4 linked regions of the Callithrix jacchus genome follow. The protein of the gene in region 2 interacts with the protein of the main gene of each other region in a pairwise test. Links are inferred from orthologs where the notes say so. Each region holds a gene or a part of one and is shown on either strand. Other genes may lie near its edges. The genes, in order: LMO2, PRKG1, FAM124A and IRAG1.

Evidence for each region.
Region 1: the proteins of PRKG1 (region 2) and LMO2 interact in binary tests that used the Homo sapiens proteins (3 or more experiments, as listed by UniProt). The two-hybrid records come from large-scale screens. The link is inferred for Callithrix jacchus from reciprocal best matches to the Homo sapiens genes PRKG1 and LMO2.
Region 3: the proteins of PRKG1 (region 2) and FAM124A interact in binary tests that used the Homo sapiens proteins (3 or more experiments, as listed by UniProt). The two-hybrid records come from large-scale screens. The link is inferred for Callithrix jacchus from reciprocal best matches to the Homo sapiens genes PRKG1 and FAM124A.
Region 4: the proteins of PRKG1 (region 2) and IRAG1 interact in a two-hybrid assay, tested with the Homo sapiens proteins (2 studies listed by BioGRID). The link is inferred for Callithrix jacchus from reciprocal best matches to the Homo sapiens genes PRKG1 and IRAG1.

What each region holds. Positions count from the first base shown.
Region 1 is NC_133511.1:99,237,476-99,245,476, forward strand, and holds part of LMO2 (rhombotin-2), read right to left. Parts: coding exon 7,937-8,001; intron 2,908-7,936; coding exon 2,692-2,907; intron 1-2,691. UniProt on the Homo sapiens protein: Acts with TAL1/SCL to regulate red blood cell development. Also acts with LDB1 to maintain erythroid precursors in an immature state.
Region 2 is NC_133513.1:77,905,596-77,913,596, forward strand, and holds part of PRKG1 (cGMP-dependent protein kinase 1), read right to left. Parts: intron 6,400-8,001; coding exon 6,277-6,399; intron 6,194-6,276; coding exon 6,131-6,193; intron 4,892-6,130; coding exon 4,825-4,891; intron 3,405-4,824; coding exon 3,306-3,404; 3' UTR 1-3,305. UniProt on the Homo sapiens protein: Serine/threonine protein kinase that acts as a key mediator of the nitric oxide (NO)/cGMP signaling pathway. GMP binding activates PRKG1, which phosphorylates serines and threonines on many cellular proteins.
Region 3 is NC_133502.1:64,723,630-64,732,259, forward strand, and holds the start of FAM124A (protein FAM124A), read right to left. Parts: upstream 5,581-8,630; 5' UTR 5,443-5,580; coding exon 5,375-5,442; intron 1-5,374.
Region 4 is NC_133511.1:76,422,504-76,430,409, reverse strand, and holds part of IRAG1 (inositol 1,4,5-triphosphate receptor associated 1), read left to right. Parts: coding exon 1-26; intron 27-1,592; coding exon 1,593-1,727; intron 1,728-5,648; coding exon 5,649-5,892; 3' UTR 5,893-7,906.

The sequences.
Region 1 (8,001 bases), on a different chromosome or scaffold from region 2:
GAGTTGAGGTTCTGCACAGGGGCCTCATGAATATTTGAAGTTGATGTCTGAAAAGAACTGTAACATGCAACTCAGCCACTGGAAATCCTCAAGGGGACAAATTATCCTGGGGTGAAGAACTCAACCCCAGAAGAGGGTCTGTTCAGCCACTCTTCCAACTTGCCTTGTTAAAAGCTCCTGCCGGATCACCTGAGGTCGGGAGTTCGAGACCAGTCTGATCAACATGGAGAAATCCCATCTCTACTAAAAATACAAAAAGATTAGCTGGATGTGGTGGCAGGTGCCTGTAATCCCAGCTACTAGGAAGACTGTGGTAGGAGAATCACTTAAACCCGGGAGGCAGAGGTTGCGGTGAGCCGAGATTACGCCATTGCACTCCAGCCTGGGCAACAAGAGCGAAACTCCGTCTCAAAAGAAAATAAAATAAATTAGCTCCTGCCAGATATACTAAGAATCCAAGTAAACAAGACCATGGCTAAAGGACCATCTCTGAAGCAAAAGACAATTTTTCTCCTCGGTCAAGAGGTGTCCCATTTTAAGCTCTCTGCTGCCCATTTTAATAACAATAATATAAATATTAAAGGATGGCTGGAAATGCCCGCACTAACACAGAGTTAATTAACATGTTGTCTAGGAATATGGCAGGAGAAGAATTATTTCATGTCACCAAGACAAAAGTTAATTAACATTGGGTTCTTCCAGGCTGTTTTTTTTTTTCCTCTCCTTTTTGAAAATAGAAAGGATTAACAAGCCCAGGCAGCACTGGTTTTATTCTTGAGTGTTATATAAAACGGTAGAGATAGGGAGAAGCCGGGCTCCTCTGACCTTACTCTATCTGCACTTCATTTAATAAGATTCAAATGATTTGACAGGGATGGAGTCAAGGGTCCGATGGGAATCATTTATCCGCCTCGTCTGCCTCCTCACTGACTTGGCAAACTGGGAGTGAGCAAAACCAGGTTTCTATTTATCCCAGTTCTATTCTTTGTGACTTAAAAACAAAGGAAACTGACCACAATTATAAATATGATCATTGAAAAACCCTACTTATTTTCTTGGAACCACCATATCTACAAGGACTTTATCTGGGAATTCGAGAAGGGGAAAAGCTTATTCCATCAGTCTTCAGGTAAATGAATAAGCTTCCTTCACTGTGAAACTACCTGCAGTTTTTTGGTTTGGTTTGGTTTCTGTTTCTGTGACGTAAAATGCTCCGAGGGCAGGTTTGGGAGGAAAAGCTGGCCCAGTAGCCAAGGGCGCTAAGATCTCAACAAGCTTCCATGGGTTGGATGGTCCTGATGTGTCAGGGAAGCATGCTTCACACAGCCTCTGCTCCAGGAAGACGGAGACATACTGACAGCTACACAGCTGAGCAGATCTGACAGTAGCGGGCACAGAGAGTTACCTTCACTGCAGCTCATAGGAAACTAGAAATGCTAATACATTCTAGGCAAAGGCATTCACAGAGTGCTGGACAATTCGGATGGCCAATAGGATGGCCCAGAGCATGGGAGATGTCCTCAGCTCCTGTCTTTTTTTTTTTGAGACAGAGTCTTGCTCTGTGGCCCATGCTGGAGTGCAGTAGTGCAATCTCGGCTCACCGCAACCTCCGCCTCCCAGGTTCAAGTGATTCTCCTGCTTTAGCCTCCTGAGTAGCTGGGATTACAGGTGCGTGCCACCACACCTGGCTAACTTTTTGTATTTTTAGTAGAGATGGGGTTTCACCATGTTAGCCATGATGGACTCAATCTCCTGACCTCATGATCCACCCACCTTGGCCTCCCAAAGTGCTGAGATTACAGGCATGAGCCACTGCCCCTGGCCCTCAGCTCCTGTCTTACTTGACATTGTCAAATTCCTATTTTACCCTTCCATTCTTCCATCCCTTTGCTCATTAGATTTGAAAATAATGATTATGTCACAAGGATAAGTTATAAGAGCAGCTAACACCTATTTGATCCATACCAAGCCAAGCCGTTTATCTGCACTATTTCATCAAATCCTCCCTATGTCTGCAGAGCTAGGTGGTCCTATCATCCCCAGCTTACAGATGAGGAAATTGAGGCTTAGGGAGGTTAAGTCACTTGCCCAAGGCCACCAAGCTGGGAAGCAACGGTGTTGGGGCTCGAACTTCCAACTGACTGCAGGGCCTTTGCCCTTATGCCCTTTGAAGACTGCCTTCCTGCTATGAGTCAATGCTTGGGGCTCCATATGCTTCTATTTTTAAATTTCTCATCATGTAATACTGCAGTCATACAAAAGAATATTTGTCGCGTGTGTGTGTGTGTGTTCTGAAGCATTCAAATGAGCCCCTCAGAGCCCAACTCCAACCTTAGAAACACCCCCAGTGCCTAGGATCCTCTGTGCATACTCCTCCTCAGCCCTATCCCCTGGCCTCTTCCACTCCCTGAGGGAACCACACTTCCAAATTTTGTGTGTACAATTCTCTTGCCTTTAAAGATATTAGTATTTTACCACATAGGAACATAACCCTGAGAACATGATTCTCAAACAGGAAGAAATGCTCACTGCTTCTCAGCACGGGAGCTAAGACAGCCTCTGCAGCCTGACCTCACTGTATAGGTGGTGTCTGAGCCTGGAGCAGGGTCAGGGCAACATGCACAGACTGCAGATGTCCATGACCACCCAGCCTCCCCCCCAAGGGCTGCAGAGGGGTGCCAGGGAGGGTACCTGAGATAGTCTCTCCGGCAGAGCTTCCGGCCCAGTTTGTAGTAGAGGCGCCGCCCCACCTCGCCCAGCCGGCAGCCACAGAGGTCGCAGCTCAGGCAGTCCTCATGCCAGTACTGGTCGATGGCTTTCAGGAAGTAGCGGTCCCCAATGTTCTGCTGGCAGCCGCCGCATGTCAGCAGGGACGGGGGGATCTGCAGCACCTCATCCACTGGTTCCCTGGAGAGAAGGCCAAGCATCAGGGACAACCTCACCAGAGGGAGACCAGCACCGAGGGGCCGAGATTAGTTTGGGCCAGACAGGGCACCTCATCTGACTGCCTGTTGGTGACCTAAGGGAGAAGGGACGGTACAATATATCCATTGGCCAGACTGACTGCAGAGACCCAGCCCACCCGGGGTAAGACAGGAGAGAGCTAGACCTTATGCCCTAGATCTCTAAGAAGTAACCACAGGGCACCAAGAGGCATGAAAGGCAACTGCAGGTGGCACTGTGCCCCAGCCCATGCCCAGCACCACCTGGGCACCTCTGGTCTCCTTCTGCTCTTTCTCACTCTCCCCGCTGACCTTCCCTCTCTATCTTCACAGAGCTCCCTTGGTTTTCTCCTCCTATATCCTGGACCCAAGGGCACTGCCTAACCTCAGAGGAGGCACTCTGGACTCAAAGAGTCACTCACCACCAGGGCAGCCGATGACCCAGAGTGCTAAGAATCTGCAAACCCCATTTAATACATTTCCATGCCCCTCCAGCCCTTCCAACCGCTCAAAAGCAGAGGTGAGGAAGAAGAATGAGACCAAAAATTATTTTAGGTTGCTTTCTCTTGCCAAATTAAAAATTCCTTCAGAATATAATAGGAATTCTCCTAATTTTATTTTATTTTTTACAGATATTCCATTTTCGATTCTTTCTACTGAAGGAATTCTTGGAGGAAAACCCCAGACTGTAAGGCCGTTGTTATATTTATGAAGAACATCAAATAGGCCTGTCCTTCCTCACCTGAACATTTTTATATTAGTAAAACTGATTTGGATGAAGTTGATTTAAGGAAGAAAATGAAGAGGGGGCAATGATTATTTCAGAGAATAGAACGCATTTAAACAGACAGTGACATCTCAAACCAGCAGTCGTTAGTAGGCTGTGGCGTGTGTTTTTCGTTAACATGCCATGCATAGTATCTCCTGCCTACTTGGCTTCACTGGAATCTCAATACTCTTTTACATTTAAAAGTCAATAACTTTGCCAAAAGAAAATGAAGGAATGGAAGGAATGATTCTAGTGTCCCCCAAATGGGACATGGGAAACACTTAATACTTACTTATTTGTAATAATTAGCAAATGTTCTCTGGAACCTTACTTAAACACAAATCTGTTTCTTAAAAATCTATTATGTTTCAAAAAAATGGACTTTCTTCCAACTGTAAAGGACTTTCTTCCTGGATACACTGCAGGTATAAATCTGTGTCTCCCTCCCTTTCTCCCTTCCTCCCTTCCTTCCTTCCTTCCTTTCTCTCTCTCTTTCTTTTTTTCTTTCTTTCTTTGAGTTTCGCTCTTGTTGCTCAGGCTGGAGTGCAGTGGCAGGATCTCAGCTTACTGCAGCCTCCACTCCTGGGGTTCAAGAGATTCTCCTGCCTCAACCTCCTGAGTAGCTGAAATTACAGGTGCCTGCCACCACAGCCAGCTAATTTTTGTATTTTTAGTAGAGATGAGGTTTCGCTATGTTGTCCAGACTGGTGTCAAACTCTTGACCTTGTGATCCAACCGCCTTGGCCTCCCAAAATGCTGAGATTACAGGTGTGAGCCACAGGGCCCGGCCTGTGTCTCCTATTTCTAACTGGCACTAACTTACCAGGTGACCTTGTGTCCTAATTAGTCTGTATCCAAAAAGCCCAGCAGCCATTATATTTGGAGACAGGAGACTCAGGTGGCTCAATGTCTATAATACTCTGACAACTTGAGGTGATTCTGTCATGCAAAGTATGAAGTACTCCCTATGAATATTTAGGAGTACCAAAGCCATGTCCACACTTTGTAGATACAGTGTAACTGGACTTCATGAGATTATCATCTTTAGAACAAGTAAATGTAAAGTTCAAGCTAGTTTATCTGGGGGGAAAAAAATGGCCAGGCACAGAGGCTCACACTTGTAATCCCAGCACTTTGGGAGGCCAAGGCAGGAGGATCACTTGAGCCCAGCAGTTTGAGGCCAGCCTGGGCAACATGGCAAAACCCTGACTCTACAAAAAACATAAAGAATTGCCCAAGCTTGGTGGCATGAGCCTGTAATCCCAGCCTCCCAGGAGGCTGAGGTGGGAGGATCACCTGAACCCAGAAGGATGAGGCTACAGTGAGCACTGCATTCTAGGCAAGACAATACAGTGAGACCTTAGCTCAAAAAAAAATCAGGACTGCATTTATTTATTTACTTATTTATTTATTTATTTTTGAGACAGAGTTTCGCTCTTGTTACCCAGGCTGGAGTGCAATGGCATGATCTCAGCTCACTGCAACCTCCGCCTCCTGGGCTCAGGCAATTCTCCTGTCTCAGCCTCCTAAGTAGCTGGGATTACAGGCATGCGCCACCATGCCCAGTTAATTTTTTTGTATTTTTAGTAGAGACGGGGTTTCACCATGTTGACCAGGATGGTCTTGATCTCTTGACCTCGTGATCCACCCGCCTCGGCCTCCCAAAGTGCTGGGATTACAGGCGTGAGCCACCGCGCCTGGTGACTGTAGTTTTAAGAATTCACTGAAGGCTTGCTTTCTTTCCCTTGTTTCTACAGATTGTATATAAGGACTACCATTCTCCCTTCTAATAACTAATACCCTGGCTTTTTCACGTGTATCAACTGGGAATTGCATCTCTTCTCTTTCCACAGCCCATGGTCTTACTCTGGGCTTTCCAAACCACTCATGGAACCTTGACTACATTGGATGCTGCCAAAGGACTGTGAAAGAGGAGAATTTGCCCTTAGCTGGTGCAAAACTGCCTGGAATTCAAATGAACTGCTCTTGGTACTCACGGGAGGCAGCGGGGGCCAGCAATGGCATAGCAAGGGAATCTCTGTGTTCATGAATTCTGGCTGGCTTTCTGTCCAAATGTTTCATTTGCATATAGCTAGGCAAGTCTCCATCTGTAATTTGGAGATGCTGACTGTAATAACCCAAGTTGGCTTTGAGGAAGTACACAATGAAGAATCTAGTAGGATACTGGACCACAGGAGGAACGTAAAGTAAATGAGTTATGGTGACGGCCTGAGATGAGATGGAGAAGTAAAGTGTAAGATATTGGCTCTGTCTTTCTATAATTAATTAATGATAATATCACATTATACTTAGTGGACAATCCAAGACAATGACTGAATGAGATTGATTCACCCTCAAATTAATATTTTATATTCTCCCAGAGCCTATCTTGAATATTATACCTGAATATCACTTCAGCCCGGATTTCTGGGATAATTTCATAACAATTTCTAAGGGGGTGGGGAGAATGCACTGCAGCAATTTCTCAACCAGCTTGTGCCTTTTTGATTAGAACCTGTCTTCATTGGGCAAATAGTGAAGTGAAGGAAAGAGCTGGTGAGCCTCCAGCAGTCGATACCTGCCTGTTAGGAAGTTAGGATGTTTCAGTTTTATATCCTCAGTGAGAAAGCACAAACTTTGAAAGAAGCAAACTTCCTTCAGGGAACTGAAACCTTCAGATTTATCTTCTATTGAAAGGATTAGTGACAAAATTCTACTGATCAAAAAGGCATTAGGCACCAATTCATCCAAGTCACTTCCTTATTGTGTGATCTTGCCCAGTCTCTGAAACTCAGAGCTCGGTTGTAATTGTTAAGTTTATTTAAAAACGTGATCAAACCACCCTTTAAACCCATTGTTTGCATAAACATACTTTTAAAAAGGAATGTTATTTTTCTTCTGAGAATTTGTTGAAGGAAGTGGGGGTTTTTGCTACAACAAACCTAGCTCATTATAGAACTGGTGTATTAACCTTCAAGACTGAATAGTGATGTTTATATTCTCATTGGATGGTGGTACTTCCTGCGTTTTATGAGAACATGCTGAGCTTTTATGCTGGTAACGGAGGGTAAAACCCAGGTAAATAAACACCATAGCCGAAATTGAAGGGGGTGTATGTGTGTGCGTGCGTGTGTATGTGTGTGTGCGTGCGGTATTTCAAGCAGGAAAGCACAATTCTTTTAAAGCAGGAAAAGACAAAACAAAACAAATGTCTCTTAAAAGCACAAATGGACAAGTCATTAACCAGCTCCTTTGGTCTTGTGTAACAAATCCCTTCAAAGGATTAGATGGGGACTTCAAAGGAATAAAAATTCTCAAAACCAGACAGCTAATGACTCTTAAAATGGCATTTGCGTTGACAGGAAAATGATATCTTAAACACCCCCTGCTCCCCATGTTAACACTAAAGAATGGGTTAGGGATAGAGAAATACTCCAAACTGGTACGAGGCTCAGAAAACAGATGCGGCCAATGCTCATTAGAGCCCTGGTTACCTGACCCCAAACCCTTTTGAGACTATGCTAAAAACTGAGACTCTGCTCCCCAGAAGAATTAACCTACACGCAAAATGGTGCACTAACTTTCGAGGTTCACAGGCCCCATCGGTGGACCCCGAGGAGGGGTACGCGTACTCAGATTTACTCCGGATTTCGCTGCTCTAGAAATCCCTGGAGGCCCAGAGCCAGCTCCGAGAAGGGCGGTCAGACCCCTCACCCGCCCGGTACCCGCGCTGCTGGCAGCGGCTCCACCTGCGGACCGGGAAGTCGGCCGTTGGGGACCCCGGAGGCCTCCACTTGGAATGTTCCCCTTTCCAAGACCAAATGGACAAAGAGAAAGGGCCGAGACTGAGCGAGAGGGGAGAAGGGAGCAGTGAAGCCCGAACGCTCTTCCGACTGCACCTGCGCGCCTCCGGGCTTCCCTGGCGCCTGCTCCCGTGCAAACTTTCTGGCCCGCGGTGGCTTTAGGGAGCGTCCCGGTAGCCTGGAGGGGCCCACAGAGGCGCCGGGCCGACCCCTCGCCCTCCCGCCCGCCTCCCAGTCCCTCTCCCAGGGCCCCCGGAGTTACCCACGAGGAAGGGGGGAGTCCCGCGTTCGGCACAGGGGACCAAGGGCACGCCGGGGCGCGCACCTGGAGCCCCCTCGCGGGCCGCCTGGGTCCCCCCCGCCGCCCCGGGGCGGGAGGCCATGGACACCGGGGGTGGCAGGGGCAGGGGCGCTGCACTTACTCTGAAGGGTCCAGGCTCTTCCTTTCGATGGCCGAGGACATTGGGGAGGGAGGCGGCGTGCCGGG
Region 2 (8,001 bases):
CTGTGAAACACTAAAAAAAGTTATATGTACCACAAAATATCACACAAAAATATCTATTTACATAATATTTGTCTGTGGTCCTATTGTGAAAGAAAATGTTATGGATAATGCACAGATCACTTCTATTGTGTGAAATCAGTTCTAATATCCTTGTTTCCAGTATGGTAGCTGACTTCATTAAATTTGTTTACCATCAGTTCAGTCGTTTAAAAATCAAACAGGAAAAATTCAATAGTTAAGTTGATATATTATTACACATGTGTAATTCACATGCATATTCCACAATTTTAGGTAACAAGTATTACTTGTAAAGAATATAATCAAAATAAATTTGTTTTGAATGCCATATGGATCTGATTCATATCTTGGTAAGAAAGAAGATACAAACATAAAAATCATGTATAGCATTATTTCAGAAATTATTTTTTCGAATGTATTCAATCTACCTCAGTTATTTTCATGTTGCTTGCCTTGACAATTTCAGTTTTCCTGTGAGTCAAAGACACACAGAAAGCCCTTATTTCCCATACTCAACACATTAACAAGAAAATCATTTAACAAATCAAACAAGTTGGCACTATTCTAACTTATCCAGATGTTCTTTAGTGTAAGAAAATAGAGGGGTTATGAAAAATTCAGAAATAAAGGGAGATGCACTTTATGGAACTGACCATGAATTTTAGCCCTAGAGTCTTCATTAAGACAAGATTTATATCCTAAAAATTCAATGCTGAAAATCAGATGAATGTTTTCTGTTGGTACATTGTGGAAAATGTAGTTTACCTTTGTTTTGTGGTGATTGCTTCAGACACCTAATGCAATGCTATGGGTGAAATGAACAAAGATGCAGTAACAAGTGGGAAAACAGTCTACAGTTACATTGTGCTGAATGCTACTTCTTCCTTCTCCACTGAACTTATTTATATTGGTTGTCTTAGACTTGAACCATAGTTCCAAAATCCACAATAAGTGCTAATCTTTGGGACTTTGGGGATTTTTGAAAAGTTGCAGAAGCAGAGTCTTTCCAAATAACAAGGTAAATTCAATATCCTAGCAAGTCTTTAGCATGCCTAAGCCACATTATCTTTCAACAAAAATTACTGAACATTGACTATAATGTTGGAATTATGTATGTCAAAAAGGCCAATTAAAAAAATATAAAACTGTAATAACATACATTGCTGGATTTTAGGTTATATTTAGTTTTATATTCTAAAATATGTAGAAAACAGTGGATATCTTGGGAAATAGACTAATTTGGAGAAATTATAAGGGAGGGAAAACTCCAGAAAAACAAGAATAACAATAACATTTTAGGATTGAAGTTTTAATTGAAGTTTATTCCCTTTTCATTTTATCCTCCACATTTTTAAGAATATTATATTTTCATAAGATATCATATTCTAAGGTAGTTTTGGGTTTGAAAAATCAAACAAAATTTATAATATATGCCCTCTTAGTTAAGGTATAGTGATCTAATTGGACTTATTCTTGCAGAAGTGTTGACATTTGATTGATTAAAAAGAAACCTCTACTGAGAAAAGAGCAAGCCTCAATTTAATATACCAAATTCACACACTGTGCCAAAACAGAATGACAGCTTTAAATGTTTTATATTTTTCCTCATAGGTATAATGCAGTTTTGTCCAGGAAGAGCTTCCAAATGGCTGAGTTACTTATTAAAGCTAATAATAATCAACCGGCCTGCCAGGGATGGACTCAGTTTAATTTGCAGATTCTTTTCTCCACGTGAATAAAGTAAATTAGTTTGACATTTTCAAATCTAGTTTGTTCTAGGTAGTGTGAAATCATAGAACTGTAGTAATTCTGTCCTACTTAAAATTTATTTTTTTAAAAATCAGGTTCCTGTTTTCCTCTGTACTGCTTTCTTACTTGGAGAAGTGGGTGGACTCAGCCTATTCACAAAAAGGTAATCAGCACCTGGCCAGGTTTTTGTTTTGTTCTCTGACCTCACAGAAGTGACGTTCCTGGCTTGGTAAAGCTGTAAATCTTAATAACTTTGACTTTGGGCTTTCTTTTTTTGTCTTTCCTACTTCTTTTATTTTTGTTTTTCCTTCTTGTTTTATTTTTTTTTAATTTTTTGTTTGTTTGTTTTTGGTTCAGGCCTAAGACAAAAAGCTAGTTCAAATAGGTTTATAATCACCGTTGTCTCTCAACTCCAGACTGACAATGTTGTATGAGTGAAATTGGACAGGAGTTTGGTTTAATAACTTCAGTGAAAATGCTTGAGTTTCTGGCTACACATATAATGATTTGAATTTGTGTTGTCTGTTCAGACACTGACATTTACAGATGAAAGATATACATAGCACCTATATAGCTTTTATTTATTTTTTGGATGGGTTTTAATCCCTCCCCTGTCCACCCCACCCCGAGGGGTTATTTTTATAAAAGGGAATACTTTAAGCCTCAGTTTGAGGGTATGTTAGGTAAAACCAATTGGCTGCTAGTCATTTACTTCCAGGACCATTTTTAAGCACAGTATTTTTAAAAATATGAAATGGTTTTGTGAACTGCTTTTTTTCCCCACTCTGTCATGCCAATTTATCAAAAAAAAAAAAAAAAACCCAAATATCATGCATTGTTTTTCAGTCCTCTGTGAAAACGCATATGTACCTACTATGAGAGGTCTCAGCAGAATCTATAGCAGTTGTGCTTTTATCATATCAATTTTTAAATTCTGTCAGAAAGAAAGGGTAACATTCAGTCTTGTCATCAGCACTGCTGGGAAATAAAATCATGAAACTTCTAGCACTAGTGTGACATGAGCTCTGTGACCAACAGATGTGTGGTCCTCTTTTGAATGGTATATACACCGGCCTGCAGTAATAGATCCCACAGCCTTCACTTGAAGAAAGGGAATAGCCTAGTTTCTGTACCATAGTAATCTATCGTACCCAATATATTATTCTTTCATCTTCTTGAATATTCTACCAAGGTACAGACTCTTCTACTAGATTGAAGTGTTTCCTACAGTCTTTCAAATTATAATCAGAGCAAAGCAAGGTCATTGCAACAATAGAAAACATCTCTTTACTGGTGAAAGGCTTTGCTTCAGGACCACCATGTCAACTGCTATTTTAGGTTCGAACAGAAAACATGTAAAGAGCACTATTGTCATCTAAGCAAAAGTCCTAATGCCACTGTAGTTACCGGAGCAGCATCGATCAAAGGCATCATGGTGACCCCGAGCACTAATCTTCTCTCTTTCCTTCAGGTTTGCTGGCAGCTGTGTCTCAGAAAAAGCTGTCTTCAGCAAGGCAGAAGCAGGTAAGAGAAATACATTAGAAGTCTATGTCCCATCCTGAGTTGTCATCAGGTGGTGGTTCATCGTTGTCCTCAGGGAAACTGTCAAAATTGCTTGTGTCTGTGGGTGATGCAACCTGTAAATAGGAGAGAATGCACTTTGTGTGTGTGTGTGTGGAATTGCTGGAATTTTTAAGCACATCCTGTATTTATTCCCTATTAGTGACTACTTTTTTGAGTGCTTACTATGTAGCAGGTATTGAGGGTCTCAGTGGTGAGTACAAATAGACATGGTTTTTATCCTCACAGAGTTTATACCCATGGTAAGTAATACATTGTATGATTAAAACAAATAATCACAAAATCTATATATAATTCAAAAATCTATATACAATGAAAAATAATTACAAAAATCTTTCTATATAATAAACTTTGGCTAGAGCTATGAAAAGAAAAAGAGATGCCATGAAAGTATACAAGTGATCATGTAGGACAGGTGCAGTGGTTCATGCCTATAATCTCAACACTTGGGAGGACAAGGCAGGGAGACCACCTGAGGTCAGGAGTTCGAGATGAGCCTGGCCAACACATTGAAACCCTGTCTGTAATGCTTTTTTTTGGTCTATAAACAAACAAATATTAGAATAGAAATAAATCTTAGAAGAAGGGAAAATAGAGCCAAGTTCATGGTGTGCACCTGTGGTCCCAGCTACTCAGGAGGCTGAGTCAAGAGAATTGCTTGAACCCAGGAGTTTGAGGCTATCCTGGATCCTGGGCAACATAGCAAGACCCAATCTCAAAAGAAAAATGGAATAGAGAAAATGTTTCTGTGCAAATAGCAGTCTTGCAATAGTCCTAGAGAGAGGAAACACAAATGAAAGTCCCAGGACCACAAAGTAGTCCTCTCCCCCGTAATAAAGATGCTGCACATTTTATTAGCTAGATGCAATACTGAGTAAAAATATAAATGCAATCTGCTGAAATCTATTTTAAATTAATATAGTATAAACAGTGAATTTAGTAGACTATTTAACAAAAAACTTGATTTTTTTTAAAAAAAGAGAGTCAAGAAAAAAGAACTACTTTTTTACTTTAGAACCTGAAGGAAGGATAAAAACACACCATTGTGCCTGAGTATGCTTCCATGTAACATGGGGAGGGCAGGAGGGAGTTATGTGAAGACATACATGAAACAACATTGGTCCAAAACTGATAGCTGCTGAAACTGGTTGCTGTAAACTCACTATAAACTTTTGTCTCAGTTTTTAGATTTTAAACATTTTCGATACTAAAAATTAACATGTTCATAAATGAAGGAAATTTGAATTAAAATGAAGAGTTAAAAAAAATAAGAGCAAAACATATTTACAGTGACTATCCCCAAATGTATCTGCTTTTAAGCTTGGATTTTAGAATGTCATTATTTCAATGTGACATTTTTCCTATAGTTTGTTTAACCTTATAACAGGATGAAACTTTAAAGATAACAGATCATTGTTGACTGACATAAACACCACCAAGCGTCTCATACAATTATAAGCTGTAAAATCTACTTACACTTGGTATTATAGGAGGTGTCAAGGTACCTTTTCTTAAGCCTTCCCAATTAAAGCCCTCAAACCATCTAGAAAAGGAAAAAATGTTGATAGTTAAAGATGTTATATGTCAGCTAAAATCTTCTAATTGCAATGTATACAATGTCCATGGCTAATGGAAAGCAGTTAGGCAAACGTTTTCATGAGACAAAATGTTTTCTATTTAATTGCATATCTTTTCCAATTAGCTTATTTTGTGAAATGCATACTTTTAAAGTATATCTGTCCAATTTTAAATACCAGTTAAACATGAAACTATTTTTCCTTGTAATTCAGTCATAATGTCTCTAATGACCTTGTTCCTATACTATAATTATAATTTAATAAATGTCATAATATGTCTGGCCCTGTGCTTTACAGGGTATTTTATTTTAAGGAGATAGAACAAGGGCACGAAAAGTCAGGATAGAAAATGAACTTTCCATTTTTGCCACTGACTCAGTGCACAGCCTCAGCTAGTTAACCTTTTCATTTCACATCATTGTAGTGGTCTCTACATGTTCCATTTTCCTCCTTTCTTCCCTTTTTAAATGAAGAATAAAGGTATTTTGTGTACAGTTTTTTCTGTGAAATACAGACCAAAAAACACTAATGTTTTTGCCTGTTTGTTTTCTTTTGTCTTTGAAAGGTTTCACCATTAGCAAATGCTTACAAGAAATTCTTAGCAGGCCTTTCAGATATTCATAGATATTTTAGTAAACATGTTTCTTTGATAAGGATGTGAATTTTCTGTCAGTGTTACACAAATAGAGAAAAACCAAGTAGTTTAACTTTAGAGCATCCAGTCAATATAGGAAAGGTCTGATATTTAAGATGTTGCTATTGGTTAAAAAACACTGTATTCTGCTGTTATGACATCTAGTTGGGAAATGCTTAGAAAAATATATTTTGTGTTTAGGAAATCAGGTACAATAACAGTAGGGGACTTTTGTTTGTAATACTGTGGTAGAGAATAGAATCTCCAAATTTAAAATACACATTTCTTCTTTGTGCCAGAGAGGAAAAAACAATGCTAGTTGGTATGAGTTGCAAGAAACTGAGTTCAATGAATTCAGTTTCTTATGTCACAGCGTTGTCAGGTAAATAAAATTAAGTTTCAGAAACAACTAGAAAGGAAAAGCCTAATAAGTTTATATTCTGTCTTTGGATGTTCCTATATGCTAATTGTACTAGTTTTTACACCAATAACTTAAAAAGTAACACCCTGGCAAAATGATGTCAGGTGTTTGGAACTCTGAAACCTAAAGTTATAAGGAAAGAAGACTTACTTGTGCTTTTGAATGTCTTTTACTCCATTTTTCAAGTTCCCTAATCTTTCTGATGGATTGTCCCTAAAAATAAAATAATAGTTTTATTACATCTAATCTTTTCACATTATGATTTTTTTCAAAGATAATGTAGTTGAGATACTTACCTGCATAGTTTTTTAATTAAATTAGCAGCATTTTTGGCAATCTTCTTCGGAAATTCTATCATGTCAATTCCCCTCAGTATGATGTTATAGGTTTTCATAGGATCCGGGCCTGAGAAAGGTGGGCTGCAAGAATGAGAGACATGACAAGAGTTATTATTTTTATTTCCTACATGAGAACACTTGAATTGCTATAAACTCCACCGATGACATCAATTCTTATTTGGGGGCTTACATTAATAGTGACAATGGAATGAAAGTAGATTAAGAGCTAAACAGTGTAGAAGTCCTTCCAGGTAAATCACTTAGCAAAACCAGAAATGGGTCAAGTTTATCTGCTGTTCCCTGATTTCTTTTTACTGCTGGAGTCTAATCCCTCATGCTGTCCTTGGTCATTCAAGATGCTTCTTTCACTCTCTGACCTTTTCCACACTTACTGACTCACTCATTATACTTGAGATGAAGTCCTAAGTCATTAGGAGGGGCCACAGGAACACCAACGATACTACCCCCCCCCTCACCTCATGCCATTACCACCCTCACTCACTTGGATCCAGAAACAACAGTGTCTCTCTGTTCCACTGAAATGCTCAGCGCTTTCCTACCTCATGGTGTTATTTATCTGGCCTGAAAGGTTCTCCCCACATATCTGGCCAATGCCTCATTTTATCAAATCTCAGTGAAGTAAGTTTTATGTTGTTTTCTCCAAAAGGCCTACTCTGGTCAACCTAATAAAATCAATTAACCTCTATCAACCCACAAAATCTAACAATCTAATCTTATGCTCAAATTTAAAGTTTTCGTCCCTGTTACACTTTCATAGCACGCTTATGCCACTTATTGTACTTTGTAATTATCTTTTCATTTGTGTAGTTATTTATGTTATGTCTGTCTTCCCTTCCAGAATAGTTTATTTTCTGCTGGTATTCCCAGAGTTGAGTAGTGTTCACAGCACGTACATACTAAGGGGTCAGTAAATATTTATTGATCTAATATTTCTGTAGAATAGTACTCCTTCTATCATTTTCTCTCCGCACAGAGGACCTCATTAGATAACTTAACACTAATCATTATCTTTGTTGGTAAGGATGTAACCCTTCAGTCCTCATGAGGCACATCTGTTGATTTTTTTTTAACCTATCCATCCTTGAAGTGTAGTTTGTGGCAACTTCAGTGAGTACAAAGATGACTAAAGTGAGGTCTTTTCTTCATATTTCTCACAGTTTAGAAGGGAGATGATGGTACACCTTGACAAATGATTTCTTTGAAAATTAGTTATTCTCTTTAATACAGTTTTTGTGTGTCTTTGGGGGAGAAATCTGAATTATTATATTTTTGCCCTTCATGTTCATGTTTATTAAGAGCAGTTCAAATGATTTCTTTTTATCAAGCAGGCTTATGAGTTATTTAAAGTAAGGAGTAGCAGATTTACCTGTGCTAAGGGCTGTGATGGATTCTGCCTTGATTTGTTGTGCAAAGTGCTTTCTATTTACTTTAATATGTTATTAGCTAGTAATTGTCTATCAATTTTACATCACTTAAAAAATATATAAACATGAAAATCTATTTAGTATTGTCTTAGAATTTAAACAGTTTCTCTTTATGTGATCCTATGATTGAATATTCTCTTTATTCTCTTAAGTTAACATGCCAGTTTTCATTTTTACTTTAAAAAATGAGAAGGACCCACATCTTTGGGTTTCTGTGTTATAAATGTAATGTTTTCTA
Region 3 (8,630 bases), on a different chromosome or scaffold from region 2:
TAACAAAGAACTAACAAACAATCTGGTCTTCTATACAGTATTTCCTCTTTCACCTTTTGAAAGACCTGTCCCATCTAAAAATTCACCCCACCTATTCTTTTCCATCCACCTATTTAAAAACTCTAGACCCCTGATTTGTTCGTTATGTTTTAAATCACAGTGAAGTATCAATTGGAGGTCCTACAAAGAAACAGGGCAAGATACGGCCCTATACATTCAGAAGCTCAGCAACAGCTGAGATGGAAGTGGAAGTTCATTAATGCCAGACCAAACTATTGAATGAAAATAATCCATCGCAGGTGAAAGGGTGGCTCAGATGCCAAATCTTGAAGACATCACTAACGAAACAGTCATGATAAAGCATTGGCTTTTATTTGCGTTTACAAGGAACTGCCTGTCCTTCTATTTAAGGGATTCTATTTAAGATAGTTTACCACCATCAGCAGCTGACTTGCCAGTTTTTGTTAATAGAAAGTACACAAGAGCACAGGCTTCTTGCAATTGGATTTGGAAAATGGGAGTTTCAAAATGACATCAATTGCCCCAGAAAAATACTAGTTTGCTTTTAGCCTTGGTCTGTGTTGGGTGGGTAAGACAGCAACAGCAGCATTTCAAGCAAAAGAAAATGTCTGAGCAGAAAACAAGAATTAATTACAAATCAAACAGCTCCTTGAGAGGCAACTTCACTAGATGGGAAGCACACTGGGGACCCAGGCTTCAATTCATGCCTCTAACAAACCATGTGCCCTCCAAGTCTCCACTTCCTCATCTGTAAAATATAATTATTAGAATACCGAGGCATGCCCTGTAGTCTCTCAGATGTTCTAAATGATCTAATTAAAGTATTTAAAAGCAACAGCATCTATTGTGATGAGCTTAAAGAACATATGCTCTTGAGTTTACCATTTTTATTATACAAAACTCTAAGTTTATCAATTGGAGTGTTCTTCATAACAATAATATGGTGAGACATAATCATGTACTGAGGGTTCTAGACACTGAACAGGCACAGTTCTAGGGGCTTTAAATATATAGGCTCATTTAATCCTCACACCAACCCTAGGAGGTAGGTACTACTATCATCATTCCCATTGTACAGAGGAGGAAACTGAGAGCAGAGAGAGGTTAAGTCACTGGATCAAGGTTTCATGGTCCCTAAGTGGAGGAGCAAGAATTTGAATGCCAGAGGGCTGGCTCTTGTGACTGTAACTTTCAAAGGGACCAGCCCGGCCTGCCCACCGGCAGTGGGACTCACGAAGTTTCTCGGAACTGTTTCTTCCTTCATGCTGCTGAACGGATGGATAATCAGCTTAAGCAATACCCTGAAAGCCCTTGTTTCGATGTTTTGTTCACACACCCTTCCCCCAAACTCTGATAAACCTAACTACCCACCATCTCTCTCTGCCTGACCCTAGGTGTTGAGCATTGCTGCAGGAAAATAAATAACAAAGGGAACTTGTACCTCTGTAAATACATAATTGCAAATCTCAGCTGGGCACCCATTCAACATTGCCCCAAACAACTATTTGAATCTCCATTCTCCTCAGATGGTGAAGGGCTGTATTTACACCAAATAGAAACCCCATCTTGTCTGCCCTTCTAATTGCAGGAGGGGATGTCCTGCCTCCTACCTAAAGCCATCCATTCCCCTTTGTGAAGTCCACTTTTTCAGAATACTGACACTACAGGGCCAGAAGCAGTGGCTCACATCTGTCATCCTAGTACTTTGGGAGGCCAAGGTGGAAGGATTGCTTGAGGCCAGGAGTTTAAAACAGTTTCTGAAAAACATAGCAGGACCTTGTGTTTATAAAAATTAAAAAAAAAATTAGCTGGGCATGGTGTCGGTGGCTCAGGTCTGTAATCCCAGCTACTCAGGAGGCTGAGGCAGGAGGATCACTTGAGTCCTGGAGTTTGAGGTTGCAGTGAGCCATGATTGCACCAATGCACTCCAGCCTGGGTGACAGAGAGACCCTGTCTGGTTAACAAGCCAGCCAGCCAGCCAGCCAACACTACAGCTTATCATCTTTACTCCTCCTTTCCCTTTCTATAGAATCCCTTCTATCACACTGATTGCTCAATTAGTGCATGTGTTTAGGAAATCTTTCCTCACCCCACTCTCCCCTTTAGCTACTGCCTATTTTTGCCTCTTTTTTTCCAAACAAAGGAATATCTGTCTTCTCTTCACCTTCTACTGCCTTCTAGAGCCACTCTAATCTGACTCCTGCCTCCACCACCCTACTATCAAATATCACTCTTCCTTCACTTCATCATCTCCATTAAAATACACTTCATGTTCCTCATCTTCGTTAGTTTCTCAGTAGCATAGCTGATCTCTCCTTCCTTTCTCAAAAACTCGGACCTCCCTTGGCTTCAGTGATTTATATATTCTTCTTTCTTTGACTCCATGTCTACTCTTTCTTAGGCTCCTTTATCAGCTCATTATCATTGACTGGCCATTTAAATGTTGTAGTTTCTCAAGGCTGGTCTTAAAGAGCACCTGCTGCACAGAGTTGTTGCAGGATTTGAGAGGTCCATATATAAAGGCTTAGAACAGTAGGCGACAGAGTAAATGCTAAGCACGTGCTTGCTATTAACTTCAGTTGATTTAATCTCTCCCAGGGCTTCCATTGCCATTTTTAGGTAGTTTCCAAATGCAATGTCATATAGACCTCCCTTCTGAGTTCCAGACAGATATATCGAACTGCTGACTCATCATCTTTACTTGGATGTCTCACAACACTTCAGACACACACAGTGTGCTGAAAATGAAATGTCTCATATCTTGCCAAACTTGGTTTGGAAGAGATCACCAGCTACTTTGAGAATCTGATAAAAAAAAATTAGTTGTCTTCTCATACAAATTCACAGGCACATCATTTTGCATACAACTTGAAGCAATTCATGGACCCCAAATTAAGGATCACTGCCTTAGCAGATGTGTCACTTGAGCTGAGTCTTGAAAGAAGAGTAGAGTTTCACCTGGCAGACAGGCATGCCAGGTGGAAAGGGCAGAGCTGGCAAAGAGGGCAGCTTGACAAAGGCAAGGCTATAGAAAAACTTGTTGGATGTGGCTAGATACAAGGCGCAAAGAAGGACCTGCTGAGAAACAAGGCCAGGGAGGGAAGAAGGGACTCCGTATCAGGAGTTGGGATATACATGTTAAATTCCTTGCATTTGTAGATGACAGAGCCATAAAAGTTTGAAAAGGAGAGAGACATGAGCAGATGTACATTTTAAAAAATGATAGGCCAAGTGAGGTGGCTCACACCAGTTTGAGACCAGTCTGACCAAATGGAGAAACCCCATCTCTATTAAAAATCCAAAATTAGCCGGGCATGGTGGTGCTTGCCTGTAACCCCAGCTACTCAGGAGGCTGAGGCAGGAGAATCACTTGAACCCAGGAGGCAGACATTGTGGTGAGCCGAGATCATGCCATTGCACTCCAGCCTGGCCAACAAGAGCAAAACTCCGTCTCAAAAAAAAAAAACAAAAACACAACAAACAATAACTAACGACGGCAAACACTTATTGAGTGCATTCTATGTGCTTTCTACACAATCTCTGTGAAAGCTGGATAGGTAAAGGATGCAGGGCAAGCTCCAGAAAAGAAAACGATGAACAGCTTTCTGATAATTGAAATTCAAGGGCCCTATGAATAGATGGCAAATAAGACTAATAAGCATATATTGAAACGATTTTATTTAAATGCATGCTATTTTTCCTTTAAAGATGGTAGTGATACAATAAGAATTCTTTAAACAATTCTGTCCTGCTACAACTACACATTTTAGTGACAGAGACTGAGAACAGAAGCTCTGGTGTCAGCAGGGCTGGTGAGCCCCTCCCAGGAGGCCTGGCAGCTGTCATGCTGATGTCCAGATCCTGGGGCCACGTCACCCCCTGAGTCAGGACTTCCTCTCCCTTCTCTAAGACAGAGCCCTTGAAAAAGATATCAGTTTTAGGTGAGCTCTGCAAATTGAAAATGAGCAGACTAATGAACGCTTTAACACAGCTACAAATGAGCTGGTTAATTTTGCTTTGTTTCTTCTATTCATGGTCCAGCTAACTAGTGGCAGGAAGAAAAAGCCAAGAATCTTCAATTAAAGTTGATAAATGCCACTTACACAAAGTGTGGGAAGAAGCAAGGGAGTTTAGCATTTAGCATCAGGTTACTCCACCAGATTATAATTGGGTGCTGTAGAGAACTATGGATGAGCTTGGATAACAGAGAAAGCCCATTTCTGGGTGAATGCCCTAGAGAGTAAAGTCCCACATTTGGGCTAGGAGTGGTGGGGCAGGAGGGGCTGTATGGGGAGCTTCCCAGGGGTTGGGTTAGAACTCTGGATTGATCGTGGGCCTGGATTCTCTACCTGCCCTCACAGGGTTGCCAAATCCTGAGATTAGTCTAAAACCTCTCCGACCTTCCAGGAATGAGGCTTTCTGTAGTCTGGGCAGCTCCTGCCCTCCCCCAGGATTACTCCAAATAGGAAAAGACACCCTTTCCTCCGGGGTCAGGACCCGCGGCCTGGATGTGGTGCTGACTCTGCACCGGAAAGTCCTCTAGAGATAGGGGCTGCCTGGAAGCCTTTCTAACGACATTCATCTCCTAAAAGGCATTTGTCTTTTGTTCAGCTCAGGAAAACAGTGTTGTTGAGAGAGAACTAATTCGTCTCCAAAGGTTTGAGTTCATTGTTTGAGTCCGCTGAATCGAAGAGAATATTAAAAAAAAAAAATCGGTGCCAAATCCTAACACCATCTCCATCCCGCCGGTACCACAGGCCAGCGGTTCGGGCTGGGACAGGTGCACTTAGAGGTGAGGAAGTTCGGCGGGACTGGAGCAGTCGAGGAGGGGGACTCGGCAGCACAGATTAAAGTCCCACGATAAAGCCATAAAACGAGAAATGCCATCCTCCTAGCCGACTTCGGAAAGACTTTTAGGTGCGGGTGTCCTACCTTGCTTTTCCTCCTCTCCCCATCTCCAGGGCCCGACTCCAGGGGGCTCCGGAGCTACAGGAGGAAAGTCCCCGAGGTGGGGAGGAAACAAGTGCAAGAGCATTTCCTGACCCTATTGATGCTGAAAAGGGGTCGTTGCATCCACCAGGCGCTCCGCATCGCCTCACGGGATGGCTGGGCTTGCCCCTGAACCTTGAGTCTCCTCACTTTCCTCCCCTAAGGTGGGGCCCGCCCCGCCCCGCTCCACTCGGGGCAGCCAGGGATCGCTCGGCCAGTCCAGGAGGGAACGGGGGAATCCCACAGGAGGGGAAGCCCCACATGCCATCCCGCCGCGGGGATCTAGAGGGTCCTCGGCTGGGGAGGAGCCGCCGTGTAACTCGGAGAGCGCCCCCCGCTCGCGGCCCGGCCCCGCGCGGCTCACCCTCCAGTCTCCGCGCCCGAGTCCACGCAGTCGTCCTCCTCGCCGCCGCCGCCCGCCTTCGGGTCCATGATGCCCGTCCCGGCCGCGCTCGGGTCGCGAGCGCCGTAGTGACCCGGGGCGCGCTCCCTCCCGGCCGCCCAGCACTAGCCGGCCGGGTTCCCTCCGAGCGTCTAGCTGCCGGGGAGCCAGCAAACAACTCGAAAGACAGCCGCGAACCCCGCGCCGCGCCCTCTCCCGGCAGCGCCTGGCGGGGCACCCGCGGCCGCGCCCGCCCCGCCCCTCGCCGCCCGGCGGGACCCGCGGGTGCGCGCGAGCGGTGTGCGGGTGCGCGCGAGCGGTGTGCGAGCGCGGGGAGGGGGATAGCGTGTGCGCGTGAGTGGCCGAGGTGTGTGATGTCGCGTGCATCTGTGGATGTGGTCCGATGTGCACTCACGCTTCCACGCGCCTGTGGCTGTGCTGACCGCGTGTGTGTTGTGGGGGGCGGGGTGATTGTGCACACGAGAGCCTCTTCTCTGGCCCAGTCCCACAGTCCAGGAATCCCTAGCCCCAGGGCTTGCCCCGAGGTTCCCCAGCTCCTGATCTGGGAGGAGCATTGAGAAAATCAACCCCAGGCATCGTGAAAGCTGGAACGATTTGTTTCCTTTTTGGGACCACTTTGAACACCTGGGCGTTTTCTTACAGTTTCTGAAGAATTGCCGACACCAAATTCATTATCACCTTTCTCAGCACAGGACTGAGTGGCATCCCACCACCCTACTTGCCGGTTTACAGTAGGTGTCATGCGTTCTTTTGCTACTTAAAAAAAAAAAAAAAAATGCCTTTAAAAATAATCTAAAGAGCATTGAATGAACTTGCAATTCACGGATTGCTGCAGCAAGGGGATAACCTCAGGGTCAGTTAATGATCGTGATTGGAAGGGCTCACCTCCTATTAGGAGGGTAAAGAGGGAGGCAAGTTGCAGGGGTGGCAGGAGGAGAATCTGAACAACTTGAATTTAGTTCTGACAGCCCTGTCCAAGCCATTGGGAGGAACTGTCCTTACTGAGCCTAAAATTCCTTGCACCCCAAACGACAATGGGCATATTTGTGCTCATTAGCTGAAAGAAAGAAGCGTGCCAGTTCTTCAGGGGAGATTTCTCTGCCCATCCACTGATTTCTAAAAGAAAATTCTCAAGTGGGGAGAGGAACATCGTGAGTGATATATTGCACAATGCCATTAATGATCCATTTTTAATGTACTGATTCATTCAGTAACTAAATGCCAAACGGGAGGGTGAACTCTGCATATACAAATGAGAGAAAACAGCAACAGGTGCGATCCTTGCCTTCATGGCTCTTACATTCCAGAGGAGAGAGAATTAAACAATTCTGTGCATATGTGTGTGTATATATTTATTATTATTATATGTGTATAATAAAATGGAGACAAACCACCATGGAGGAAAAGAATATGTGCCCAAGAAAGAAAGAACATAATTCAAATTGTGAGAGAGCAGGGAAAGCTCTCTTAGGAAGGGATACATGAGCCCTCTTCTGCCTCAGGGCCTTTGCACTTCCTGTTCCTTCTTTCTGGGATATTTTCTCCCAGATTTTCTGCAAGACTCCCTCCACATTTCCTTCTGTTCTCGGTTCAAATGGCCCCTCATCAGGGAGGCCTCCCTGGCTAATCCTACATCACAGTATCCTCTTACTCGACTCTATTTCTTTTCTTTTCTTTCTTTCTTTCTTTTTTTTTTTCGACACAGAGTTTTGCTCTGTCACCCAGGCCGGAGTGCAGTGGTGTGATCTTCGCTCACTGCAACCTCCACCTCCCAGGTTCAAACAATCCTCCTGCCTCAGCCTCCTGAGTAGCTGGGATTAAAGGCACACACAACCATGCCCAGCTAATTTTTGTGTTTTTAGTAGAGACAGCGTTTCATCATGTTGGCCAGGTTGATCTCAAACTCCTGACCTCATGATCTACCTGCCTCAGCCTCCCAAAGGGCTGGGATTATAGGCATGAGCCACCATGTGAGGCCTATCCCAATTCTATTTCTTAGCACTCTACCAGGAGCTGGCAGATGATAGATTTATTTACTAGTCACCTGCTCTTTCCTTCCCACCCCTACCCCTAATGTCAGATTCATCAGAGCAGAGACAGAGTGCTTTTTGTTCTTGCTGTGTCCCTAACACCTGGAATGGCCCCTGGAGCAATGGGCGTGTGTTGAGTGAGTGACAGGGAAGCAGCCCTAGTGCAAGTTAAGGGGTGAAGAGGTGCTCCAGGAGGAGAGAGGGTGAGGCAGGTGTGAGGCAGGATGGGGCCCTGAGCATTTAGAGGGGAAGTGATGGCAAGTTGGGTGACTAGAGCTATGTAAAATTGCAAAGACGGTAACAAGATGTTTGACCGAAGTGTCACCTCTGGAAAGTCACCAGTAGGCCATTATAGTGTATTTGGAAAATAGATAAAGACTGTCAATGAATCCAAACTAAAAGGAGTAATACAAATGGCCAAGTAGGTAAGCAAAATAAACATTCCACCATTTTTTATCCTACAGCCATGAGGGAACCTGTGTGTGGGAACAATTCAAACTGTACCTCATTTGATCCTCAGGGAAGTGCTGTGAAGTAGAGTTATTTTCTATTTTACAGTCAAGGAAACTAAACCCTACTGAGTTCAAGTGCCTTGTCCCAGGACACACTATCAGTGAGTAGGAAAGCCAGGTAGTCCACTTAAGGTGGCTGGAGTCTGTGTCACTTACCTAGAAGGCTGACTAATGGGCCATTTGAATCCTCAGGAAGATGGTACTAAGAAAAAGGTCAGGAAGAAAGGAGGAAATCAGCATGACTTTTAGAAGATGAGCTTTGGAAAATGAGTTGCTATTTACTGATTTCTGCCTTTCTCAAATATCCAGAGAAAGGGCAGGCCAGACCAAAACCCCGAGCCACATCTCAAAATGATGCATTGATTCAGGTTCCCTTCGCCCACAGGCGACACAAGTGTTATCATTCATCAGTGGCGTAGCTGTCTAATGGCAACTCAGTGATGCATTTATTATATGGAAGAGAAACTTAAACAGTATCACTGTATTCTAGTGATGCATGGGGCTTCTGCTTCAGTTTCCCAGGGTTTTATAGTCTCACTTCATTGTTTGCTTGTTTTGAGACAGGGTCTTGCTCTGTTGTCCAGGCTAGAGTGCAGTAGTGCCATCATAGCTCACTGCGGCCTCGACCTCCCTGATACAAGTGATCCTCCCGGTTCAGCCTCCTGAGTAGCTGGG
Region 4 (7,906 bases), on a different chromosome or scaffold from region 2:
ATAAAGGAAGAAGCCTTCAGCAAGGGGTGAGTCAGACCTTGGCCACGCTGAGGGCACCTGGCAGGTCTCAGAAGATGCCTTCCCATGGGTCTTTCCTGTTTCTTAGAGGCGGTAGGGAACCAGCCAGTGGCCACAGGACCTCCTTGCTACAGGAAGGAACTGCATAGGAAGAGCAAGACTGTTCCACAGGAAGGACAGGAGGAAGCAGGGTCAGCGGGTGTGGTTAAATAGACGGCCCTCTTTTTAGGCAGAGAGCCACCAGAATGCCACTGCTCAGAATAGTCTGGAAATAGAGGCCCTGGGTGGGTCTTGGCGGTGCCTGAGGCTTCCTGACACGTGTTCAGAGCAGTCCTGCTGCTGCCAACAGTGCCCAGGAGCAGCTGCAGCTTTGCTTCCTAGAACTGCTTTGGTCACCCCTTCCTCCTACACACAGAATCTCTTCAACTTCCAGCTCTTCCTCCTCTGTAGCACCTATGGCCAGTTGTCAGCACTGGAGAGACCAAGCAAGTCTTGAGCAGGGGCCAAACCTCAAAGTAGAGGCTTACCTCTGACCATGTATGGCAGCCCGAGCATCTACTGTCCCCATAGCTCATGAGGGAGAAATAGTTTCCCACTGACACAGAACCCATGGGCTTCAGTGGTGGGTTTGCTCGACCAAATTGCTAGTGTTAGACACTCAGCAGAGGATAAGTGAACAGAGTGTGTTTGGGGTAATTTTGATCCTGGGGGAGAAAAACCACAAGGGTTTCTCTTGGAAAACCTGCGTTTTTCACCCACAACTGTGCTCTCTCCTTGGAATGCATGGGCATGAACTCCTTCATTGGTTTTGTAAACTTTTACTGACTACCTCTCTAGGTCAAGCCATGTGCCTGGCACTTCCGAAAAACATTCCAGGCCGGGCGCGGTGGCTCAAGCCTGTAATCCCAGCACTTTGGGAGGGCGAGGCAGGTGGATCACGAGGTCAAGAGATCAAGACCATCCTGGTCAACATGGTAAAACCCCATCTCTACTAAAAATGCAAAACATTAGCTGGGCGTGGTGGCGCGTGCCTGTAATCCCAGCTACTCAGGAGGCTGAGGCAGGAGAATTGCCTGAACCCAGGAGGCGGAGGTTGTGGCGAGCCGAGATCGTGCCATTGCACTCCAGCCTGGGTAACAAGAGCGAAACTCCGTCTCAAAAAATAAAAAAATAAAAAATAATTCCAATGCCCTGTGAGATGAGTGTCCCCCTCCCTCTTTCACAGATGAGAGGCTGAAGCTCCATGGTGACATGGAGAACAAATACAATCTTAGGCCTATGGAACGTTCTGTGGGATAAGAACCCAGTCAGGAGATCCTGCACTACATTTTTTCCTCATCAGTTTTGTCACACTGTCACATAAACAGGAAGGATGACTGAGGAGTGAGGGGAAATGGTACTGGCATGAGCTGCCTTGGGATTCAGTGGAGCTTCCCAGCTTTTTCCTGTTTTGTGGAACCACAGGAAGTGCATAATTATTGGAGGTGCTGCTCAAGCCCCCTCCCCTAGGAACTCAGGAAAGGATGCACTGCATCTGGCCTTTCCAGACTCAACTGTTCCTTTTTGTCCCCCAGATTCCAAGAAGGTCTAAAGAAGAACAAAGAACTTCAAGACCTGAAGGAGGAGGAGGAAGAACAGAAGGGTGAGAGTCCTGAGGAACCTGAAGAGGTAGAAGAAACTGAGGAAGAGGAAAAGGGCCCAAGAAGCAGGTGGGAAGCCTGTGTTTGGAGTCCTTGCTATTGCTGGAATGGGTTACAATTCACCTAATTTAAATGCACAAAATCCCTGGAAATGCCAGTCCAGGGCAGCAGTGAATCTGAGGCCTCAGTGAGTAGCCAAAGAAACCAAGAGGGCACTCATGTTGGGAGGGGAGTAGAGGAAATCCCAAAGAGCCGAGATCACTAGCAATCAGAAGTTTGCAAGAGCTTGAGAGGTCGGGGCAGTCATGGGGAGGGAAGATGACAATCAAGAGCTCCTGGAGCTAAGGATGGGCAAAGGGCCCTGAGTGGAGTCCCTCCCAGCCCAGGCATAGTTAGCTCATTTCCCAGATGAAATGATGGGTAGCCATCCCCATGAGAGGGCCAAGACCAAGGGAGCTGACTTAAAGCTCTGGAGTTGGTTTTTTACAAGAACAGGAACTGGGAGGACACGCAGAGCAGAGGGCAAACTCAGCTCAGTGACAAGGTGAGTCTCCAACAGGTGCCTACCATGCTGACCAATCAAGCTTGGTCATCCAGAGAGTGTCTTCACTTTAGGCTAGAAATATTTGGGGTTTTCTTTTAGAATACTTTCTATTTCAAAGGTACTTTCCCCTAAGTTGGGGGAGGAGAATAGAACATGTAGATAAAGAGAATATAGACCTATATCTTGTCCCACTTGTGGTTTCTGCCTGGCCTTTAGGATGCAGAATCGTAGAAATGATCTCATTTAGTTCCAGGGCACTTCATGCAATGAAATATTATGGGAATGAGGTCTCAGCCCCACCAGGCCTGAATATCCTCCAGAAGTACATGCTTAGGGATAGGATAAACTAGCACCCATAGAAGAGGAGTACTCTACCGCATAGATATAATGATCATGCCAACATTCTGGATTTTCAGGACAGCCCAATTTCATATATTTAACTATGTTGTCTCTATTAGTATATTTAAACCACAAGTCTTGGATTTTGATTATTTTAAATGTAGTTATAGCCACCTTAGAAAACCTTCACCAAAATCCTTGTTTTTTAGACCCCTGGGATATCTTGGGGTCCAGGGCAGTTCCAGACAAAATATCTAATCAGCTGCTGAAATATTATCTAATCAGTGTATATATCTGTGCCTCGTTGCTGGAGAACTCTGGAAACCACATAATTGCAACAAACAGGTAATGAAGTGAAGACTAGAATCAAAATGGATAGGCACATAGGAGCTACCAATACAGCCCAGTTAGTGGAGGATTCAACTAAAGTGAGAGGTCTCACTGAGAGAGGTCTCAGCCCATGCTGGTCAACCCCATTGTTCAAGGGAAGAGCTGTTAGGAGAACTGGAGAAATGCTTCTCCACTGAAAACAAGCCTGTGCTAGTACCCACTGCCTCCCCAATGAAAGAACCTCCAAGTTTAACAATTAAAGCACAATCCCTACTCCAGACAACCAGATCCTTTTCTTAGGCCTCACCACTGTCCTGAGGCTTCTCCGCTCAAATTTCTCAGGCCAACACATTGCCTTCCTCCCCTTGAATGCAGTCAAGTGAAGCCCTGGACAAAAAGCACTTCCTCTGGCACCCCTGAATACAGCTGAGACAGGCTAGAACTTCTAACACTTCCAAACACTGCGAAAGAACAAAAAATAAATAAACAGAGAGAGTACATGGAATATAAACAGTCTGGATTGCAAAGCAAGGGCCTCGATGCTTTATCTAGCTAATTCGATCTCAGGCAATTGCCAGCTCCCTCCCATTTCATGAAACCCAGGAGAAGTAAGGCTTAGCTTGGTCCCTTTCTGTCCAGCTCCTGGTCATCAGTGTGTGGCAATGGTACCTGTAACGTTTATCACGCACCATCTCTCAAACATGATTCTCGCCTGAAATATTGGTACCTCACTAACAAGCAAGGTTTGAAATTATTAAAAGTTCCATGTCCTACTTAGTGCATTTTTAAAACATTGGGTTCAGCCCAGCTGCTGACTACTTAAGAGATTCAACCTCACACATTAAAGTCTTTTTGTCTGAGTCACTTATCTGTTATATATAACAATTTATGTTACAAATATGGCTCTCTTGAGGATCAGTTTAAATAAACTTTGGGTGAACCCCAATATCTTAATTATATTAAAACAGAGAACACAGTCTTCTGACATTGAACAAGTGAGACTCATAGGGGCAAGCTAAAACTTTTGTCTTTTCTCCCAACGCCTTTTAAAACCTGCTCTGTGGGGTTAAGATGACATTTACCCCATTCTGTTTCCAATAACTCTCAGGAAACAGAAGTTTACTTATAACAACCAAAAATTGACTTCCAAAGAAATTCTATTTCTAATCTATTTCTAACCTCTTTTATAGGCTAGGCACCGGTGACCAGCTAAGGTCACACAGCCAGACCTTGGCCTCCTCCTTTGGAGCTGCACTTAAGAGTGGAGTTAGAGTAGGGAGAAGCCACTCTAGCAGCTTGTTTTAAAGGATGGAAATATAGCCCCAAAGGTTCCATTTTAGCATTCAACTCTATCTAAATAGAACCTAAAGAATCTAAAAAGGGCTGAAAGAAAATACACTTCCACTTCTAAACTCTCCCTTCCCAACAGTTGTGAAAATAGCCAGTGATTTTCAAATCAGCGAATGTGCTCACTTTTGTGCTTTTCTTAATTGTGATTGAAACGATCTGATGGGATTCCCGCGTGGAAGAGAAACCTGTCAATGTTCCCTGTGGCCTTAGCATCCAAGGAAGGCACTCTGAGCATCTGGACCATTTCTAAGGAGGGTATTTATTGAGTTTTTCAATCCATTGCAAGTCACACATTTTCTACTCGTTCTAAATTTGAGCTCTCTGCTTTTCAGCCAATGGCTTGGTCATTGGAGTGTGCGTGTGAGCCTCAGGATCTTCCGAAACCACTTCTATAATTTTCCCCACCTCCTTGGTTTAGGAATCCTCGGTATTCTCATTTTTCATATTTTTAAAATTACAGATTAAGAGCAGCAGAAAATCCTAGCTTATGAAGGGGTTCAGGGCTTCTTCAGAGAGCTCTAGAATGGACTTGCCAAAGGAGGCCATCTGCCCAATGTCTTTTCACTATGTCAGAGAGAGAGATGACAAATTGAAAGACAGTTGGGAAGGAAGCAAAAACAAAAAGGGGCAAAAATGGAGAGGAAGAGAGAGATGAAAGAAAGAAGAAAGGAGTATGGAGAGAGTGAAGGAAGAAAAAGGAAGAGAGAGAAATTAGATAATAAATATTAATGATGTTGAGATAACATCATCAACAAATCACCCAGAGATTGCTAGAGGCTGCTAGTCTTCTGCCTGCTCTTGGATGGTTTGAAGTGACCTCCTGAGGTTGATCTAGTCCCTTGTCATTTATCACAGAATATCAAGCTTCTTATGAGTTTAGCACAGTCCTTCCTCTCCGAACACAGTTAGATGTGGAACTGAGAACAATGAATTATGCATCTGAGGCAAGGGACAGGTTAGAGCTTGGAACTGATCACTAATACAGCTAAGTGCTAAAAAGATGCACAGTCCCGTGATGGTCTGGATGCATGAGAGTATGGATCAGCCAATCCTGTAGCCCTGGGCTTGGGAGAGTGTAGATATCAGTAATCACCCTGTGAATAGGTGAGGGCATGTGTGGATGGTTGATCAAACAAGTAAGTAGAATGATCTAGTCAAGTAGCTTTCAACATCAAGGCTGTAGACTGGTGGAATCAAAATCACCTGGGAAAATTTAGCCAATGATTCCTAGACCATAACTTTGTATATTCCTATTCAGTGTGCTTGGGGCATTTTGAACAATTGCTGCCAACCCAATCTAGGCACAGCTGAGTTTGAGAACTAGTGCTCAAGACAGCATGGAAGCTATCCCCAGAGAGAACTATGGGTCTGTGTATCATATGCGTGCCCAGTATACTAAAGCCTCTGCCTATTTTTTTCATTGACAGCAAACTTGAAGAATTGGTCCATTTCTTACAAGTCATGTATCCCAAACTGTGTCAGCACTGGCAAGTGATCTGGATGATGGCTGCAGTGATGCTGGTCTTGACTGTTGTCCTAGGGCTCTACAATTCCTATAACTCTTGTGCAGAGCAGGCTGATGGGCCCGTTGGACGATCCACTTGCTCAGCAGGCCAGAGGGACTCCTGGTGGAGCTCAGGACTCCAGCATGAGCAGCCTACAGAGCAGTAGGAAACCTCACACCTAGCCAGTGCCCTGCTCTGAGACACTCAGACTACCACCCTTTCCCCAAGTATAATGTCAGGCCCAGGTGTGGACATGCTGCCACCCATCCCATCAGGTCGTGAGGAAGGGTTTCTTTAACACTCGGCACTTCTGTGGGAGCTATTGATACACAGTGAGTTGCTATTCTTGGAGGATCAACGAAACTGCCCTGGGAAAGCATCCAGTGGATAAAGAAGTCACCTTCACCAAGGAACTCTATTGGAAGGGAAGGTCTCCTGCCCCTAGCTCAAATGGCTGGGGAGAACTAAAACATCTTCACTGGTGGTTGGGGGTAGGGAGCGGGGCACAGGGAAGAAGGAGGCAGGGGGCAGTAAAAAGCTTACTCTCTTTTTTCCTCTCTGTAATTGGTTATCAGGGAGAATTTGCTTAATGACTAATACCCTAAGGATCAGACCTGGAATTTGGAGTTGCAAAATGACTATCATTCCCATTTCCCATCTCATTTTCAATTTCTTCAGCCTCCCATCCTCTCCTTTGGAATGAGAGTTTCTTTTTACAGAAGTAGTAAAGGCTTCTTAGAAAAAAAAAAGTATAAGCTGAATTTAGCTCAGTGCTTGAAATGGGAAGATATGAATTATTATATATGCATCTGTCCACACACACAGTTGTGTATACACATACATACAACGTGCATGTGCACAGAGCCAACAACCCTTCAAAAGCGTGCTCTGGGTGTATGCCTCTGGATAAATAAGATGCATGCCAACCCAACCCACCCACAGATTTTTACTAGGCATGGGGCAGTCACCAGGCACCTGCTCAGTGAGCTGTCCACATGGATTGAAGATGTCTGAAAAACACTGAAAACTTATGGCTTCAATGGCAGACTTACTAGTCTGCATTTCAAATGCTGACTCTGAGCTGCTGTACAGCACCATCTATTCCCTATTATCTCTTTGAAAACAGTTAACCCACCTCACGGGCGAATGAGGAGAGAAGATGTGCTTTCTGCTTCAGTCTCTTATCGTGTGTGTGACCACATGCAAGGGTAAACTTGCATTTTAGTGCTTCAGTTCCAACAGGATTTCCAACCTAAGTATAATTGGGGATGTTTCAGAGCATCACCAGTTATTTAGCACAAAACTGAAGGAGCACTTCCCCTCTCCATTTTGACTTCTCTCCCCACTTTTATAGCCACTGCCTTCATTCAGCCCTCATCAGTTTTGTAGGGATGTTGATTTCCATGTGGGTTTTGTTGTCATTGTTTTGCATTTTTGTTTTGTTATTGATATTGTTTGCTTTCATTGCTAAAACTCATATACAACTTACTATGAGCCAAGTGCTGTTCTCAGTATTATGTAGGTGTTAATTCATTTACGTCCTGAAGAAAAAGAAAAAATATATGAAGTGGATACCACCCTTCCCATTTTCAAATAAGGAAGCTGAAGCACAAAAAGAACAAATAACTTGACAAGCGCACCCAGCTAGTAAATCATGGGGCTGGAACTCAACCCCAGGGTAGACTGGCCCCAGAGCTGTGCTGTCCTTGACTCTTCGATGGTCTCCTAGCTGGAAGCCTCACATTCCAGTCTCACTCCCCCAAGCGGCTCATCAGCTCCATCTCTGGCTCCCAAACTAAAGTTTCTCTCGTAGCTCTGGGCCTTCACTCACTGGTTTTTCGCCAGCTGTTCTTCCCTTTTCTTTAGGTCACTCTTCTTGACCAAGTACAAAAATTATCCCTCCACCAGCTTTGATGACCTTCCTTCCATACTCCTCACCAGACACAGCATAATAGGTCACACCTTCCTCTGTGTTTTCTGGCACTTTTTAAACATTTTTATTATTGACCTTTACCTATAATATATCACAGCCTATTTATGTATCTGTCTCCGCTAGCATTTTTCCTCAAAGACAAGAACCATGTCTTACCCATCTCTTGGGTAAGTGCTAGCATGGTGGCTGACGCTTGGGAGGGTGTAATTAAATGTTGGTTAAAAGAACAAGCAAACATTCAAGGTGG